Cricetulus griseus: one gene and its partners. The protein of the gene in region 1 purifies or fractionates together with the protein of each later gene. This does not show direct contact. Links are inferred from orthologs where the notes say so. Each region holds a gene or a part of one and is shown in the gene's direction. Other genes may lie near its edges.

Evidence for each region. The genes of interacting proteins can lie anywhere in the genome.
Region 2: the proteins of Atp6ap2 (region 1) and Atp6ap1 purify together in Homo sapiens (affinity purification with mass spectrometry; 5 studies listed by BioGRID and IntAct, counting the BioPlex papers as one, with this or other methods). This does not show direct contact. The link is inferred for Cricetulus griseus from reciprocal best matches to the Homo sapiens genes ATP6AP2 and ATP6AP1.
Region 3: the proteins of Atp6ap2 (region 1) and Atp6v1a purify together in Homo sapiens (co-immunoprecipitation; 3 studies listed by BioGRID and IntAct, with this or other methods). This does not show direct contact. The link is inferred for Cricetulus griseus from reciprocal best matches to the Homo sapiens genes ATP6AP2 and ATP6V1A.

Annotation. Positions count from the first base shown.
Region 1 is NC_048604.1:118,221,884-118,225,383, forward strand, and holds part of Atp6ap2 (renin receptor), read left to right. Parts: intron 1-489; coding exon 490-609; intron 610-3,500. UniProt on the Homo sapiens protein: Multifunctional protein which functions as a renin, prorenin cellular receptor and is involved in the assembly of the lysosomal proton-transporting V-type ATPase (V-ATPase) and the acidification of the endo-lysosomal system.
Region 2 is NC_048604.1:1,419,039-1,421,603, reverse strand, and holds the end of Atp6ap1 (V-type proton ATPase subunit S1), read left to right. Parts: intron 1-647; coding exon 648-695; intron 696-784; coding exon 785-1,013; intron 1,014-1,223; coding exon 1,224-1,433; 3' UTR 1,434-2,065; downstream 2,066-2,565. UniProt on the Homo sapiens protein: Accessory subunit of the proton-transporting vacuolar (V)-ATPase protein pump, which is required for luminal acidification of secretory vesicles.
Region 3 is NC_048597.1:46,316,953-46,320,400, forward strand, and holds the end of Atp6v1a (V-type proton ATPase catalytic subunit A), read left to right. Parts: intron 1-851; coding exon 852-1,023; intron 1,024-2,627; coding exon 2,628-2,720; 3' UTR 2,721-2,948; downstream 2,949-3,448. UniProt on the Homo sapiens protein: Catalytic subunit of the V1 complex of vacuolar(H+)-ATPase (V-ATPase), a multisubunit enzyme composed of a peripheral complex (V1) that hydrolyzes ATP and a membrane integral complex (V0) that translocates protons.

The DNA of each region.
Region 1 (3,500 bases):
TATATTAATATTACATGCTATGTAATTATTTATAAAGCTACAAATAATTTTAACAAATACTGATTTGACCAGCCACAATAATAATAATCAGTATGTGAAGTAGTGTATATGTTAACTAGCTAATTTACCCATTCCACAATGTATATGTATTTTGAAACAATACCTTGTATATGAGATCTATACCCATAATTCTTGTCATTAGTCCCTAATCAATATAGTATAACAACTATCTACACAGCATTTCAATGTTAAGTGACATGTATCTTCTAGAGAAGATTTAGGGTATACAGGATGCTACCCATAGTTTCCATGCAAATACTGTACCATTTCATGTAAGAGTATAGAGTTTATAATCTGTAGAAGTTCTAGAACCAGTCCCCTATGGATACCAATGAACCGTTCTATAAGGTTTTTGTTAACCAAAACTGCAAATGTAAACAAAATTTATGTATTTTGCCATTCATCATAATGTTAATAGCTAACTTTCAGTTTGCAGATGACATGTATGGTCTCTATGGTGGGAATGCAGTGGTAGAGTTAGTGACTGTCAAGTCATTTGACACATCCTTTGTGAGGAAGTCACGGACCATCCTTGAGACAGAGCAAGAGGTGAGTATGTTTTTAGATCCTGTTTTAAAACTATGAGATTAACTTACTTTAAATAATAACACTCTGTGCCAGCAATGGTGGTGCACGCCTTTAACCCCAGCACTGGGGAGGCAAAGGCAGGTGAATCTCTGAGTTGAGGCCAGCCTGGTCTACAAAGTGAGTTCCAGGACAGCTAAGGCTACACAGAGAAAAATAAAACAAAACAAAAAGAATAAAACCCTGAGCTACTGGCAAGATTGCTCATGATAGAAGGAGACAAAGGGACTCTTAGACATTGTCCTCTGACCTCCACACCCACACACTAATATACATACACAAATAAAATGTAATTAAAAAATTAGAAATTCTGAAGCTGAGTGAGGTGATGTAGGCCTATAATCCTAGCACTTGGGAGGCAAAGACAGGAGGCTCAGGAGTTCAAGGTCATCCTTGACTACATAATGAGTTTGAGGTCACCCTGGGCTATATGAGGTCTGTCTCGATATCTTCCCTGCAGGAAAAAACAAAAAACAAAACCCAGAAAAACAAAGGATGAAATTCTATATTACCTATAGGTGATAGGAATGAGTGTTTAGCAAATCAGAAAGAATTTCAGTGATAATGTAGCTTTCCTGTTCACGTAGCTTTGTACTTTTACCAGTGACACTAGGTTCCCTGGGCTTGCCATTAGGTAATCTAAATATCAATTCTTGAGCTGGGAGTGAAAGCAAAGCTGTTAGTGCTGGTAAGGCTATGCATGTTAAGGAGCCATTAGAAATTGTTCCAAGGGAGTAATGTACCTCTCTCAGCCTATAAATTCTGCTTTTCTAGAGAGACACTATTTTTGTGACCCAGTCCCTCATTTTCTGGGACCCTCTGCATACACCTCTTTATAATTTTGGTGTAGCTTATCAGTATTTCAGTGTGGATCTTGCTTTGACTGAACGTATATAATACAGAGCTTTGGTTCTCAACCTGAGTCACAACCCCTTTGAGGGTTGACCGACCCTTTCACAGAGGTCGCCTAAGACCACCAGAAAACACAGGTATTTACGTTACAATTCATAACAGTAGCAAAATGACAGTTATGAAGTAGCAAGGAAAATAATTTTATGGTGAGGAGGATTGCAGCATATATTTAAAGGAGCCACTGACATAGGGGGTCAGAGAGAAACTTGATGGCCATGGTAAAATGGTGTCTGGGTACATGGTCTCACACAAAGCTTCAGCACACTTGGCAGTGCTGGGAAAGTGGTGCAGGTGCCCTGTAGCAGCACCAGTTAAGAATGTTACTGGACTGGTATGGCAGTTCACACCTGTAATCGCAGCACTTGGAAGGTGGAAGCAAGAGGATCAGGAACTTAAAAGCCATCCTTGGCCACAGAGTAGGATTGGAAGCTAAGCTGGGCTGGGCTACATGAGACTTTGTCTAAGAAAAATGAAGATCACTTATGGTGAGCCCCACCACTTGCTGTCATCAGATACCCAGCCCTGTGGACCTATTTACAAGGTCCTCCATGCTCAATCTTAAGGACCAGTGTGGGAGTTGGAGTATAAAGGCTGTAGCCAGTACCGATCGTAGACAGTCTAGAGCTGCCAGCTGGAGATTGTTGCCTTCCACCAGATTGAACTGAGATGGAAGGGTACCTGTTTAAGCAAGTATTTCAATCAGGTGTGATGGCAGAAAGCTGAGGCAGGAGGATTAGTGTGAGTTCAATGTCAGGTTAGGCTACATAGCAAGACTGTTTGAAACAAATAGTCCAAGCAGCTTTATAGGCCTGGACTCCTTCCTTCCTCCTCCTCCAGTTTCCACTAAAAAACCTCTAGAAGTGCTAGATAAAAAATAAAAGTTTTGAGCTAGAAAGAAGGCTTGGCACCCACATGGCAGCTCACAGCTGTCTATAATGCAGCTTCAAGTGACTTGACACCTTCATACAGATATACATGCAGGCAAAAACACCAATGCACATAAAATAAACAGTTTCAAATGTGTAGCTTAGCTCTCAAATAAATAGGGATTCCCACAAAGAGGAGGAACCTGTAGTTAGCAGGCTTCCAGTTGGGACTACCAAGAGGCATTGGCTCTCTGTGAGATTGAACTAACACTTTCTTATGAAGCTGGGGAGCAAGAAAAGGGCTGCACTCCCGGTGAAAGGGAATAGTGATAGTTTACCAGCCAGCAAAGGAAACAAAAAGACACTCTATGGTCTATGTATGTGCTGTTTCCCAGGGCATTAATAACCCCAGGGCTCTCTTTGTGTGGATTTGAGACTTAAATTTATATTGCCTAGGAAGCCTCCAAGCAAGAAGTTAACAGAAAAGCTGCTCCCAGCTGAAGTAAATATAAAGCCTCTGCTCTGCTAGGCCATGCGTTCAGTGCAGACAGTGCAAAGAGGACCCCCACAGTTACACCCCCAAATACAGACCCAAAAATATATAAAACATGGGCAGGGCTAACTGACCGTGGAGTTCAGTATAGTTAAAGCAACAAACATCAAAATTAGACCCCAAGAATATCAAAATAACATGAATGTAACCATAAGATAACACAGAACTGATTACCAAGATTGCATGTATTTGGGGTATGAAGCATTCCCTGGGATATCATTTCAGTCTGCTTGGGCACCTGCCATCAGTACCCCATCACTCGCCTGCACGCACAGTACCCTTAACTGTATACTGGTGTCCTACTTCACAGAGGACAAGAGGCCCGTGTGAGCTTTCTTCCGAGTGTGTGATGGTTTCAGATTAGGTTGTAGTGAGGATTGAACAATTCTGTGCAATACATACACACTCAAAATGGACGTGAAAAGGAACCAATTTAGTTAATCTACATAAATCCAAGAATGAAGTGCTTGACGATGTGAAATCCTTTGTGTCAACTTTAAGCTCCCACAGGAAAATGCACCTTT
Region 2 (2,565 bases), about 120 Mb from region 1:
CTAGGCAGGGAAGGAAGGACTGTGTTATCACATATGGCCTTCTTGCCACTGTGAGCCCAGTACAGGGCAAGAATGTAGATCAGGTGTGTCTATGTTGGGGGTGAAGAAGGTCTGTTCACCAAGGACTTGAAGATAGTATCACGGGGTAATGTTACTGGGAGGTTACTGGAGAGGAAGCCTCACAAGTTTTACCTTTCCATGCTTTTTAGGCCTTGGTTGTTGGGTTCTGGGTTATTACCCTCACACAGTCCCTTGGAACCCTAGCGCTTCTTTGAACTCAACCCCTGGGACTACATGTGAGCAAATAGCAGACCAGCCGCCAAAACCAGTTCTAGGCTTCCTATACCTGAAACCTCAGCAGGCAGCTGAATAACCTTAAGAAGGGGATGAAAGAGGCTCAGGGGACTCAGGAGAACCAGAGGAAGGAATCCTAAGCTGGAGATCTGGGACCTAGGTGCAGATCCCCCAACTGTTCCTGATTTGCTTATGACTGGAGCCTTAGTTTTCCCATCAGATAAATGGGGACACTGTATTGGCAGGTGACTGTAAGGATGGATTTAGGACAGCTTAGATTGGACCCAGCCTGAGGAGAACCATACTCTAGGTCCTTCTAGAGCCTGACAGCACCCCTCTGCCTTGTCCCACAGGCTTTCACTGACCTATGAACCACTCTTTGGTGCAATGGTGACATTCAAGTAAGTTCTGGTGGTTGAAGTGTGGCTTGGCTGGTATGTCTCCATTGTCTTCTGTTCATCTGACAATCTCTGCTACCCTCACCTCCCAGGTTCATTCTGGCTAGTCGCTTCTACCCAGTGTCTGCCCGATACTGGTTTACTATGGAACGACTTGAAATCCACAGCAATGGCTCTGTTTCCCATTTCAATGTTTCCCAAGTCACGGGACCCAGCATCTATTCTTTCCACTGTGAGTATGTCAGCAGTCTGAGCAAGAAAGGCAATCTCCTTGTGACCAACGTGCCCTCACTCTGGCAGATGACTCTTCAGGACTTCCAGGTATTAAAGGGGGAATGGGCTCCAAGCTGGTGGCAGTAGGGGGAGGGAAGAAGAGCCCAGAGAATTTCAGTATGGCTTGAGCATGTAGCTGAGAGTTCCATCCTTATGCTGTCTCTGAAGGTCTAGACTGTTCACTGATTCCAGAACCCCAGCCCTTGTTGTCTGTAGAAACTTGTGGTCCCTTCTGATCCATGTCTATGTGTCTCCTAGATCCAGGCCTTCAATGTGACGGGTGAGCAGTTCTCCTATGCTAGCGACTGTGCTGGCTTCTTCTCTCCAGGCATCTGGATGGGGCTGCTCACCACCCTCTTCATGCTTTTCATCTTCACCTATGGCCTGCACATGATACTCAGCCTCAAGACCATGGATCGTTTTGACGACCACAAGGGCCCCACCATCACTTTGACACAGATTGTGTGACCTGTGCCAGAGAGAGATTGAGGGAGTGTTGGTGTCTAGGTTGTCATGTTTGCATCTTGTGGCATAGTGGATAGAAAGTTTTTTTTCTCTTCGATAGCATGAACCCTGCAGTACCCTCAGCCTGTCTTGCTTCCTCTTCAACCTACTGAGGGACTGGCTTCCCTGGGGCTATCCCCCATCTCTACCAACAAAGTGTATATATTCTTCATAGATATTAGACAAATCTTCCAGGCTCCATCATCATGAGGGGAAGGAACATTAATTCTAGGGTTCCCTTTCTCCCTTTCCCCCTTATTTATTCTTGCCCCTCCGCTACTTGCTGTTTATAGTGCTTCTGTGTAATTAATGCTCACTCCCCAAGCTTTATGAATCTTCCAGCAACAGCAATAAACTTGAGGTTCCTTGAGTTTGAGATGTATGGAAAGACTACTTAACTGTCTGTCCAGCTTGGCTGTTGTGTTTTTTGGGTGACATGTTAAGAATGATCTGTACACTGGGGTTTATTTCTGTAGCCTGAGAAAGAAGAGACCTCCACAAGGCTTATTCCCACTAGGATTGTCTGCCAAGAGATGGGGATGGGGGTACTCTTTTTGTTTCCCTTCCTAATAAAATAAAGACGTGTTGTCATATGTGTTGGGCTTCGGCTTTGAGTCACTCATTTCTGCACTTGACAGTAGATTTGTTTTTGACTGAGGGGAAGAAGTGCCCAGGTGTAGTCCTAACAGGTGAGAGGGGAAGGGTGGGAGAGTCTTCATCAAGCTGATTGATACTCTTAACGAGTTAAGGTAGAGGCCCATTATTTCTCCTGGCCTTGGGGAGAGTCCTTACAATGAAAGATACAGGCAACTGCAAATACCACAGGGCCTTGCTGTTTCTCCCAGAGGGGCGGTATGGGATCGCGCCAGGAGGGATGGGACGGGGCGGGGCGCTCTCGGCTCCCGCGCATGGATCTTCGCGGGACGCAGCACCTGCCACGGACCCGCCCCGCCCCGCATTTCTCTGGGCTCGCGAAGATCTGCGTTGCCCCCGAAATTGTACTGGTGCGGAGACTCAGGCGCTGGAAGCCCTTCCAGAAAATAAGCGGGAGAAACGGTGGCATCGCTAGGGTGTGGCAGGGCCCGAGGAGGGAGAG
Region 3 (3,448 bases), on another chromosome or scaffold:
GACTCCATCCAAGACTAAAAAGAGCTAGGGAACCGGCTTGATGTGCCTGATTTCAAGCCCTCCAAATCCACACAAAGCCAAGCACAGTAGCACACATCTGTGTCCTAGGATGCTGGAAACAGGACTTCTAGGAAGCTAGTGTGGCATACACAGTGGTAGACTGCCGAGACTGTCTCAGAGGAGGAGGAAGGCACGGACTGATACCCACGGTGAAAACTGAGCAAATAGGATTGACCAGAATGCCAATATGTCAGTTAGCCTCAGAAGTCTGATTTGTCCTGAACTGAAACACCACATAAAGAGAATGGGTAGAATTCTTCAGAATGACTATAATAAGATACATGGAGTTGAGTGTGTGTGTGTGTGTGTGTTTGTGTTTGCTTGCGAGCGTGCATGTGCTTGAGTGTGTATGCTTTTAAAAGGTATGGGCAGATAAAAATGAGTATACTAAAGAGAACTGAAGGCTGGGGCTTGGGGAGGGGGTGATAGCTTACCTGGGATACCCAAGGCTCTGAGTACACGGAGGAGGGAGGGATAACAAGGTAACTTTAGCAAGTTTGCAATTCTCTGCTTTCCTATTATTCATTAAACCTTGACTCTGGCCACAAGGAGTCTTACAACTCAGTTGTTTTTCCACTTGAGTTACATATTTAACTTCTTGTACCCAAACAGACTGCTGACAAGTCATTAGTGTGGCAGTACTGCTTCATTGTTTTCTGTTCAATAATTGGAAGCAGAATATATGTTTAAAGAAACTAATGGCTGGTAATTCATGAAGTTTCATATAATAAAAATATGCACTTGCTTTGTAGGTTGTTTTTGCTAATTGCCTTGTTGTTCATTTTCCCTAGGTTCTGTCCATTCTATAAGACAGTGGGGATGCTGTCCAACATGATTTCATTTTATGATATGGCCCGTAGAGCTGTTGAGACCACTGCCCAGAGTGACAATAAAATCACATGGTCCATTATCCGTGAGCACATGGGGGAGATCCTCTATAAACTTTCCTCCATGAAATTTAAGGTATAGTTTCTTTCTACTCTGACCTTTGTTGGCAAGAAGCCAACCTTCCTTCCTCCCTCCCTCCCTCTCTCCCTCCCTTCTTCACTTTCCCTTCCTTCCTGTCCTATTTGAGTTCCAAACCTGAGGTATGAAATTTGCATTTTTCTTTTTGAAGACCTATTTTCATTTGATTTATGTGTATAGATACATTTGTTGTAAGTATTGTGCCACTTGTGTGTGGTCACCTGTGGAGTACAGAGTGGCTGTTGGATTACCTGGAGCTGGTGCCTGCACACAGTGTGGGTGCTGGGAACTAAGCTTGGGTCCTCTGGAAAAGCAGCAAGTTTAACTGCTGAGCCATCTCTATGTTCCTGAAATTTGCATTTTTCATTTTATAATACTTAGGTTGTATAAAACCAGAACAATCTTCCAAGTTATGTTCAAGCAGGAATTCCAGTGGTAAAGATTGTACTATGTCATGTTTGTAGGGTTGGAAAGAAGGCTCAGCAGTTAAGAGCACTTACTGCTCTTGCAGAGAGCCTGGATTCAACTCCTAGCACCTATATGGTGGATACAACCGAAACTCTGAGGATCTGAGTTTGCTGACACCCAAGGATTACTGCACACAAAGGATGTACAGATATATACTCAGGCACACACACATACACATTAAAAAAATATTATAGTATGCCATGTCTAAAATAAATTCTAATGTGTTTGCTCTCTGTCTTAGCTACTAGTCAGCATAGAGTAACGTCCTAGCTGGACAGCAGTTACTTTAGTAAAGTGCCTATTATTTCATCTAGCCTCCACTTTCTCATAAACAAAGTTTAACCAGTTAAGTGAACTTACCAGTAGAAACCCAGATATAGGAGTGTTTTAAAATATTTGATGAGTTGGATTACATTGTGTTACTTCTTTTTTTTTTTTTTTTTTTTTTGTTCTTTGAGACAGGGTTTCTCTATTGCTTTGAAGCCTGGAACTCACTCTGTAGACCAGGCTGGCCTCAAACTCACAGAGATCCACCTGCCTCTGCCTTCCAAGTACTGGGATTAAAAGTGTGTGCCACTAACACCCGGCACATAGTGTTATTTCTAAGTCACGCATAGGCACATGTAGTAATCACCCACTGAAAACGATGCTTTGAGCATACTTGTACTGTAGAAGCACAGACCTGGAGGCCACTAAATGGCTTAGTGGGTAATGGTACTTGCTACTAAACCTAATGACCCGGATTCCGTTAAATGTGCTCTATTAGTCTCACTTTTCCGTCTTCGAGTGATGCTCCAGGCCTTCAGGAAATTCACTGAATTTTAACTTCCAGTTCTTGTATACACACATGTGTCTAGTACATGATATTACGAAGTTCCCACTAACATACACATTGCTGAGGTTTGATCATTGAGCATCAACTACAGGCAAGATTCAAAAATGAAATAATGGATTTTGTTTTGTTTCAGTCTATTTGCACATTTCCACTGTAAAAGAAAATAGGGTAGTTTTGACTCCTACCTGTGATTTACCAGTGTACCTCAACTAACCTGGTACTCCGTATTAATAAGTAACCTATCTTACATCTTGAAAATTATTTCCAATAGGTGAATTAAATTTGTATTATTTCTCAGGATCCTGTGAAAGATGGCGAGGCAAGGATCAAAGCTGACTACGCACAACTTCTTGAAGATATGCAGAACGCATTCCGTAGCCTTGAAGATTAGACTGTGTCTCTTTCCTCCTCCTCAGCAAGCTCATGTGTATATTTCCCTGAATTTCTCATCTCAAACCCTTTGCTTCCCTATTGTGCAGCTTTGAGACTAGTGCCTCTGTGTGTTATCATTTGTTTTGTTGTTTCTTTGGTAGGTCTTTAAAACAAACATTCCTTTGTGCCAGTGTTTGAAGGGGCTCCCTGACCTTCATCTGGAGTGGTGAATGTAGTGCATATGGTACACAATGGTACACAATGGCTATGCTACTGTAAACCTGTATGTAAGGTGACTACCCCTTCCCTCATCTCCATTAAACTGTAAACAGGACTACTGCATGGACTCTATTGGGAATGGAAGGCCAGATCTCTGTACCTATGGATAGGTACTGAGGAAATGACTCTGCATTTGGAGTCAGACCACTTGCAACTTAGTGTTTTGTTGAGTAACTGTTGAGTAACTGTTTTGCAAGAAATATTTCCATTTAGAAACATAAAAGATTAATGTTCCAATTATGCATAGCTTCCCCATTATCAATCAGGAGAGATTATGGGGCACTTGGGAACTATTTTGTCTTTATAACAGGCGTTTGCAAGGCTGAGCATAATAGATAAATCAGTTCCCTCTGAAAGTGTGAAAGAAAGAAAGAAAGAAAGAAAAAAAGAGCCAGGTGGTCAAACTTAAATTAACATCATCTTGTTAAAGCATATTTTATTTCACTGAGAGAAATTCAATATCAAGGA